Linked DNA regions of Cricetulus griseus. The protein of the gene in region 1 purifies or fractionates together with the protein of each later gene. This does not show direct contact. Links are inferred from orthologs where the notes say so. Each region holds a gene or a part of one and is shown on either strand. Other genes may lie near its edges.

Region 1 (4,405 bases):
GCCATCAGCCATGGGTGGACAGTCAACATTTGACTGAGCAAATAAAACTGGGGAACTTAATCATTTTATTCAAAAGTATAGTTCCTTTGTCACCATTTTAAATGGCCAATATCCACATGTAGTAAGTGGCTACCCTGTGGAAAACACATACTACAATACCGAGACTGCCACAGATAGCTGAAGCAATGCTGCTTAGATCTTTAACTCAAATATGAAAACATCAGAGGCACAACTAAACTACTAAACTAATTTTTAACTAGGTAATAGACAAATTCTAAGCACATTAGAAGGCCTTGATTAAAACAAACCTAGTGAAAAAGACTAACCAAGAATGAAGTAAAGGTAAAGGACGGGATGGGATGGGACGGGAGAGAATATTCCACAGAGGAGAGCTAGCTGCACTCAGCCCACCTTCACTCATTAATACCACTAGGGACTTGAAAAGGTCCAAGTCTTGGATATCAGTCCTCCTTGGGTGCATGTCCTAGCTACAGACCCCTGAACAAGCCACTGATCTTGCTGTATCTATAAAATGGGGACAGGAATGCCAGCCTACTTGCTACAAAAGATTCTATCAGGTAAGATTAGAGATAAAGAAGCTTCAGCAATGAAAGTATTCTCTAGATTACTATTTTTCAAGAACTCAAACAGGGTACAGTAAGGAACTGAGAAGGGTTCGCAAAAGAAAGTTGAGATGGGCCTACAATTTCAAGATGATCAGGAGATTCTACCAAACAGAATTCAGCAGAGGTCACTGGCAGTTTTCTCATATCTCCCCAGATGTTGTAGATACACAGTCTGGTACAGCAGACTGGGCACCCCAGGCTCTACCTAACTGCTCCAGAGAGCTGAAGGGATTCCTATCTCAGTATAGCAAATCATAACTGGGAGGTTCTGCAAGAGACCTAGAGTCTAGATTCCTGAAAAAAAAAAAAAAAAAAAAAAAAAATCCAGGATTCTGGTGCCTGCATAGCCTCTCTAGTTCAAAGCCCTTGAATATACCATCATCCACTTCAGTTTCCTCATCTACAACAAAGGGTGCTACCTACCTCAGAGAGTAGAGACACACATGGAGTTACTTTCCACTACACTTCCTCAGCACAATGTGAGTTAGCATTGTATGTGCTATGCTCACTGCTCCACCCCAAGTGCAGCCACCTGAAGGCAAAGACCAAGTCGAACACGGGGCAATCAATAGTCCTAACTCACCATTTCTACTGCAAGCCTGCACTGTGCCTACAGCACACTAAATGTTTACTGGATTATCCTGGCTTCTTATCTCAATCGGCTTTGTCGAACCCTGGGGTTTCCCATCTTCAAGGTTCCTACTTCAAAACGCCCTGAGAATTAAAAGAACAAAACAACAAAAAGAACCATGGAGTATAGTGGCACATGCTGTTAATCCCAGCATTTGGGAGGCAGAAGCAGATGGATCTCTGAGGCCAACATGGTCTACGTAGGGAGTTCCAGGCCAGTGCAGAATAAATAGTGAGGCCCTGTCCTGAAGCAAAAACAAAAGCAACCTACATACAGTGGCATATGATAAAGCCACGGCAATACAAATTATTACCATCTCCATTTTCTAAAGAAGGAAACACAAAGAGCACAGAGGTTAAGCTGTTGGGGTAAGTGGCAAAGACAGGCTTAACTTCCAAATAGATGCCAGAGATAACTTGCTATTAAGAGTCCAACACGGGGCCTGGAAAGTAACAGGCAGAGCTCACTCAATGAACATCAGATTCTGCGAGTCTGAATTTACTGGCAAGTGCAGAAGGCTACCCAGTTTACAGGGCTGTTCTGAAGTCTATGGATAGTGACTGACATGGAGTAAAGGCTTTTTTGTAAGTACAACTAACTTTGTGTCCATTTTACAGGTAAGAATACACAGACCTAGGGATATTAAGAGACATGCCCAATATTACTTAGCTAGAAAGTTGTTTGCACCAGGTCTCATTGTAGAGAACGCTGGATCTTACTCCAAATGCCCGTAACAGGGTCTGGTGCGTAATGCTCCAAGCTCCAAGAACAGCCAAAATTTAAAAACAAAACAAAAACACAACTGTCGCCAAATGTGAGGGGGAGCCTGAGAAGAAAAGCAGCTTAATTAACTCCAAGTCTGGACATCTGAGCCCTTGGAACCTCAGATGAGTATCTTACATCTTACTGGGCCTCAGTTTCCCTCTCCAAGCAATGCAATAACACTGTCTCCAATCGCAGAGACCCAGGCCTGCATAAGCAAGGCTTAATTAATAAGCAGCTAGAGACGCCTGGGGAACACACCCATGGGAGAGCCCAAGGTTGGGGGTGATCACCTTTGCGGAGCTCGCGGTGCCACACGGAGACGATAGGTCCTGCGTGCTTGCGGTGGTGGATGAGCCACAGGGACAGGGTCTGCACGCTCTGCTGAGAGTTGCTCAGCTCTGAAAGCTTCTTTTCCAGCGCTGACTCTGAGAAGGAGGACATGGTGGCGACGGTGAGGAGCGGCCTGGGCCACCCGGTGAGACGGGGAGATCGACCGCACTCGGCCCAGGCCTCCCCTGACAGGCTGCGGGGCTCTCCGCCGACTGACAGACAGCTAGGGGTATCAGACTGGGGGAGGGGACAGGTCTCCGCAGTAACAGCCACCCGCGCCGCCGCCACAAGATGGCCACCCGACCTCTCACCCCGCCGCCACGGGGTCAAAGGGCAAGGGCCACAGCCGGGCGCCGAGAGGCTTCGGAGCCGGAGGAAAACGATCCTTGGGAAGGGAGCAGCCTCTTTCGGCCTCGCTCAAGAGACTTCGAAGGGGGCAGGCCGAGGAAACAACCCCAGATCCTCGGACGCCGAAAGGCGCTTTAACCGCTCGCGCCCGCGCGCCGGCGTAGTAAGCCTCACGGGAGCCCTTTCTCCCGCTCCCGCAGAACCTTTCTGGCGCCGCGCGGCGCTCTACTTACTCGTCACTTCCGGCTAGGTACAGGAGGCGGGAGAGTGAGGGAAAGACTGGAAGACGAGGTAAGAGTGGCGGGAGCGAGAGGTAGTTCGGCAGTTTAGAAGCGTCCAGAAGCGGATCCTGAGGGGACACTGAGGCAGAAAGCGCGGGGCCCGGGTGTGGGAAGGGCCGCGTCGCTCAGGTGGCTGGCCCAGGCCACGCTGCCCCTCCGTGCCTGGCTCACACACCCCTCCCCCACCCACCACTCCCCCGGGCGCGCTCCTCTGGGTCCTTCAAGACACGTACCCTTTGCAGCCCTCCCTCCACGTTGGCTCTTGTTCTGTCTTCTGAAGTGAGGACCCTTTTCTCACCTGGTTGCTAGGCTCTGGATCAGCCGCCTACTTAAGTCATGGAACTATATCTTCTGTTGTATTGACCTTTTTAAAAAGAAAAAAAAATTGAGGGATGTGGAGAAATGGCTCAAAAGGTAAGAAGAGGGCTGGCTCTGCCAGAATGAGGACCTGAGTTCCATCCTAACAGTCATTAAAAAGCCCAGGTTGGTGGACCAGGTCTGTAACTCCAGTGCTGTGGGGCTGAGGCAGGAAGATCGCTGGAGTTTTCTAGTTGCCAGCTTAACTCCAGGCTCAGCGAAAGACCCGATCTCAAAGGAATAAGATGGAGAGTGATTGAGCAGGACATCTGACATCCTCCTCTGGTCTCAGTGCGTGTACCCCCCCCCCACACACACACACAAAAAAAAATGTACAATTTCCCTGATCGTTGTTAAACTTATTTGTAGGCCCATCCCAGACTAGAAGACATTCCTGGTTTTTATTTTTTCTTCTTCTTTTCTTTTTTCTTTTCTTTTTTTTTTTGTTTTGTTTTTTGAGACAGGGTTTCTCTGAGTGGCTTTGGAGCCTATCCTGGCACTCGCTCTGGAGACCAGGCTGACTCACACTCACAGAGATCCGGCTGCCTCTGCCTCCCTAGTGCTGGGATTAAAGGCATGCCCCACCAACGCCCGGCACCTGGTTTTCTTATTTGCTTTGTTCTAAGTGTACATGCTTTGACCCCCTCACCTGGACTACATCACGATCATAGCTAGCACAGTGAGAAATTGCTATGTGCTAGACATTTTTCAAAGTCTCATGGTTTAACAAATGAAAACAGACGGTTAGAGAAGTATAGTGAGCATGTAAGTTCCAAGATCACATAGCTAAGATCTGAGTGAAGAGAGTGTATCCTAGTGTGTCCCAGCATCTGGGATCAAAGCTGAGTTCATAGCTGATTGAATGAATTAACATAAAAGTCAGCACCTACTCATAATTATAAGCTGGAGCTTTTGAACTAGGTGTGGTGGTGAACACCTTTAATTGCAGCACTTAGGAGGTCGAGGCAGGTGGATCTCTGGGAGTTCGAGACCAGCCTAGACTATATAGTGAGCTCCAGTCCAGCTAGAACTACAAAGTGAGACCCTGCCTTTAACAAAAAAAAAAA
Region 2 (4,539 bases), on another chromosome or scaffold:
ACAGTCCTGGCTATCCTGGAACTCAATGTAGGCCAAGCTGGCTTTGAACTTACAGAGATCTGCCTGCTGTGGTTAAAGGCACAAACCACCAGACCCAGCACATTACATGCAGGGAAGGCTGGAGAACTGGATTAGTTAAAAGGTTTCCAGCACCCATGTGGCATCTAACCACCTGTACCTCCAGCTCCAAGGGATCTAGTTCTTTCTGACCTTCATGGGTAACAGACACACGGTAGACATACATAGGCAAAAGGTGTTTTAAATTTAAAGAAAGTATTGCTCTTGGAGAGGAGCCAGAGTCAATTCCCAGCACTCATGTCAGGTGGGGACCGTCTGTCACCCCCCCAGCTCTGAAAGCACTGGCAATCACCCAGTAACAAAAGTTTGGTAATCTGCCGATGCCTGCAGCTTTCTATCAAATGTAGGGGTAAGTGAGGTGACACTGCTGGCCCCCTTTGCTTTATCTTTTTGAGATACTGTATGTAACTGGCTGTCCTAGAGCTTACTATGTAGACCAGGCTGGCTCTGAACTCACAAGTACTCCATCTGCCTCTGCCTCCCGAGTGCTGGAATTACAGGTGTGTACCACCATACCCATCACCTCTTAGCATCTTGATGCCCACTAAAATGAAAACCTGCTTTGCTGGAGTCCCCTGAACTTGATCTTGGCCAAAAGACCAAGAGGCAACTGCAAACTTATACACTACATGAATGAGCCAACAGGAAGCTGATGTGTTACGTGTTACGTGGCCAGGATCCCGGCAACCATGGTAAGGTGAGTCAGTTTGAGTCCAGTCTACACTACATGAACCCCTACATCAAAAAGCCAACAAAAGCAAGCCGCATGTGAACAGACCTGTCAGTGACAGGTTAAAGTGCCAGCAAGCTGCGGAGAGACGGAAGGAACCGTCCCAGGGCATGTGCTCAGCCTACAGAGCTCTGGTGACACTCGAGGCCTCTGGCCTGGGACTTACGATTTGATGATGTTCCCCAGAGTGTGGTCTTCTTTGTTGATGGTGAACAGGCAAGCATTGGGCACCTTTGTGTCCTTGTTAATGGTGATTCTACAATGAGACAGGCAAAGGCTGAGGGTGATAGCTTTCCCTGGCCCCACATCCAGCTCTTGTGATGCTGACACTGATTCTCAAATCGGTGTCCCCTTTGTGATCAAACATTCTAGAAACTGCAGTTGGGCTGTTCCCACTACCCCAGAAACAAAAACATCCAGCTCTTTCCCTCATACAAATTGGTTGTCTTAAACTAGCTCTTGACTAAATTCTTTCCTAGAAGACAGAAAACAGCTTGTCTCCAAACCCCCTAACAATTCAAGGGAGGCCATCATTCTGCAAGTCCCACTATCCCCAGTCTGCTCGCCCCAAAGGGCTCTCTGAGAGCTCTGGCATGGTTCAATGGGTCACCATTTATCTCAAATTTTTAAGGCTCTGGGTTTCATCCTACCACTCACTCCCCCTCCAAACAAAACAAGCAAGGTAGGCCTGCTGGGACTAGTCACTGGGACTAGTAATCCCAGTGACGGGGGCAGGAGGGCAGAGAAAAACACTGTCATCCTTGCCTTCCTTGACAGACCATGCTGGCTGACTCCTATCTACACTTCCACGTCCCTGGAGGAGCAATGAAGTAGGCACATTGCACAGCTTTGACACGGCTTCTGGAGATCCACACCAATCCTCAGCAAATGCTTTGAGCTGTGACCCACTGAGCCATCTCCCCAGCCTAGCAAATGTTGGGCAGGGGGAGCTGGAGTGAGCCAGGCAGTGGTGGAGCACACCTTTGATCCAGCGCTTGGGAGGCAGAGGCAGGAGGATCTCTGTGACTTCGAAGCCAGCCTGCACTACAGAGCGAGTTCCAGGACAGCCAGAGCAACACAGAGGAAACCCTGTTTTGAAAAACCAAAAGAAAACTACAAAAAAAAAAAAAAAGCTCGAGTGTAGCTTATTGATAGAGCAGTAACCTAGCATGGGCCAGACCCTGGGTCCAGTCCCCAGCATGACCAAAACAAAAAAACAAGGAACCTTCTCTACTCCGTGATGGCACCTTATCTATACACACCAAGGACCCTTTCCCACACAGGATTGCTCCTTTTTTCTTTTTCAGAACGGGATTTCTCTTGGTCCTGGAACTACCTCTATAGACCAGGCTGGCCTTGAACTCAGAGATCCGTCTGCCTGTGCCTCCTGAGTGCGTCATTAAACCGTCGAGTCCTGAAATTCTTTCTAGTGTTGAAGCCACGAACCTGAGTTTGGCCGAGATCCCTGAAAATCTAGAGGAAATCCTCAGGCTGCTGAGGAGTGTGAGAGGGTAGCTGTGTCTCGGTCCCTTCACCGCTACCATCATTATCCTCCTGCCTCAGTCGCCAAGTCCTGGAATCACAGGCGATCGCACCCTATGCAGGGGGGTGAGCTCTAAAGCCATCGCTGCGCAGCATGGATAATGGGGCTGCAGACCAGTGAAAAGGGAGCCTGACACTCTGAGTTCGAATACAGTCCCCGACACTTCCTAAGTGTCTGGAGCAAGGGCTCGACGTGCCCCGGCCTCAGTTTCCCCGCTGTAACACAGGCGTACATCGCACCACCGCCTGAAGTTCGGCAGACGCGCACGAAGCACAGTGCTCACCGCGCCAGAGCTAACGGCCTCCACTTACTTCTTCTCGCCCTCGAAGAGCAAGAACGACTCGAAGGCCGGAGGAGCGTTCATCCTAGAGGTGCGCTCCGGCTCCCAGACTCAAGCCGCAGCCGCCGTTACCACACTGAGCTCCGGACCGCGACCACTTCCGGGTCACGAGGACACAGCCAATCAAAGCCCCTGGCCCCGCGCCCCCTGGTGGACCGGATGACCTTCGGCAGGCACGAGCAGGCGAGGCGGAGCAGGTTAGAAATCCTGTCCAAACCCCAGGGGCAGCACCTCCCAGCACAGGAGGCAGAGCCAAGCGGATCTCTGTGGTTTCGAGGACAGCCTAGTCTACAGAGTGAGTGCCAGGATAGGCTTCAAAACAACACAGAGAAACCCTGTCTTGAAAACAAAACAAACAAAAAGAAAAAAAAAAAAGTGGCTTTCACCAGGCGGCTCTTTGGCGCATATTCCAGCGAGGGAAGGCTGGGCCACCTGCAACTGGCTCACTGAGCTGGAATCCAAGCTGTGTATGTGTATGAGCTGCTGCTGCAGGACCCCGGCTGGCTGGATGAGGAGCAGGAAGGTGTGTAAAAGTGACAGGGTGCCAGCGGATCCTCTGTTGGACACACAGGTAACCAAAAAACAATGACAGCCTGGCACCTCTCTGCTTTTCAGCCGTCTTTGTGGCTATTGTGGCTATTTTTCCTATTTTTAAAGATTTCTATCTGCCTGTCTGTGCAGAACGTACATACAGGAGCCTTTGGAGACCAGCCTTGGAGGTGCTGGGAACCCAACTCTAGTCCTGAAAGAGTAGTCAGTCTTTAACTGCTGAGCTATTTCTCCAGCCTCCATGATGGTTCATTTTGTCAACCTGATGAGATTTAGTATCATTGTGGAAACAGACAAGTGGGCCAGCAGGACAGTCCAGTGGGTAAAGATAGTGTCACCAAGCCTGACTACATGAGTTCAATCCCCAGGACCCATGTGGGAGAAGTTGAGAACCAATTCCTCTGACCTCCCTGTGTACACACAATGTATATACAAACAAAACAAAACAAAAACTTCTGAGTGTGTTGGTGAGATTCTAGACAGGTTTAACTGAGGAAGGAAGGACTCACCATTAAGGACTCACCATTAAGGACTCACCACGTGCATGATGCCATCCTAGAGGCTAAGCCCTCAGACTGAATAAAAGAGGAAAGGAAACCATCTTGTTCTGCTTCCTGGATGCAGGTGGCAATGTGATCAGCTGCCTGGCACTCCTGTTGCTATGACATCCCAACCCTTCCTGAGGATGCTTCTGTCGGGTTTGTAGACACAGCAACAGGAACAATAACTCAGTCTCCTAGTCTTTGGAGTAACAGGTATGAGCCAGCCTAGCCATTGGTACATGAGCACTAAAACTTCACTGTATAACATGGAAGATGGCAGTGCCACCAGGGGACAAGTGAAGACAATGCCAGGTGCCAGAGGGCTTTGGAACCCTTCAAACACCAATCACATCATGCTCCCCCTTGCTCTGCATATTGACTTGTTATCCCTGGAGTGTCTACCTAAGGACCATTGATACCTAGCCCAGCTCATCCTCCTTCAAGGCAGAAGGCACAAAGATAATGCAGGCATCTTCCTCGGCTTTTATGTCTCCTTTCAAACTCAGAAGAAGAAGGGGGAGGAAGAGCAGGAAGTCATCCAAGGTTCTCCAGTCACAGCCCTAAGCTTGTAGTCACCTTTGATTCTAGGAAAAGCAGAGCTTTGAAGGCAGATTACCCCATGAGGAGGAGGAGTTATCTCATGGGAAGGAGCTTGACTCTTCAAACCAGAGCTGAGACAATGAGAAATCAGGCCATGCCTTGACCAGTACCACTTAATTATTGTTTGTGTTGGTCGAACCGTTTATGACGTAGGGCC

The links.
Region 2: the proteins of Rprd1b (region 1) and DNA-directed RNA polymerase II subunit RPB11-a purify together in Homo sapiens (affinity purification with mass spectrometry; 3 studies listed by BioGRID and IntAct, counting the BioPlex papers as one, with this or other methods). This does not show direct contact. The link is inferred for Cricetulus griseus from reciprocal best matches to the Homo sapiens genes RPRD1B and POLR2J.

What each region holds. Positions count from the first base shown.
Region 1 is NC_048599.1:21,544,949-21,549,353, forward strand, and holds the start of Rprd1b (regulation of nuclear pre-mRNA domain-containing protein 1B), read right to left. Parts: upstream 2,821-4,405; 5' UTR 2,464-2,820; coding exon 2,313-2,463; intron 1,341-2,312; exon of another isoform or gene 1,210-1,340; intron 1-1,209. UniProt on the Homo sapiens protein: Interacts with phosphorylated C-terminal heptapeptide repeat domain (CTD) of the largest RNA polymerase II subunit POLR2A, and participates in dephosphorylation of the CTD by RPAP2. Transcriptional regulator which enhances expression of CCND1.
Region 2 is NC_048597.1:115,110,736-115,115,274, reverse strand, and holds the start of DNA-directed RNA polymerase II subunit RPB11-a, read right to left. Parts: upstream 2,820-4,539; 5' UTR 2,716-2,819; coding exon 2,663-2,715; intron 1,065-2,662; coding exon 975-1,064; intron 1-974. UniProt on the Homo sapiens protein: Core component of RNA polymerase II (Pol II), a DNA-dependent RNA polymerase which synthesizes mRNA precursors and many functional non-coding RNAs using the four ribonucleoside triphosphates as substrates.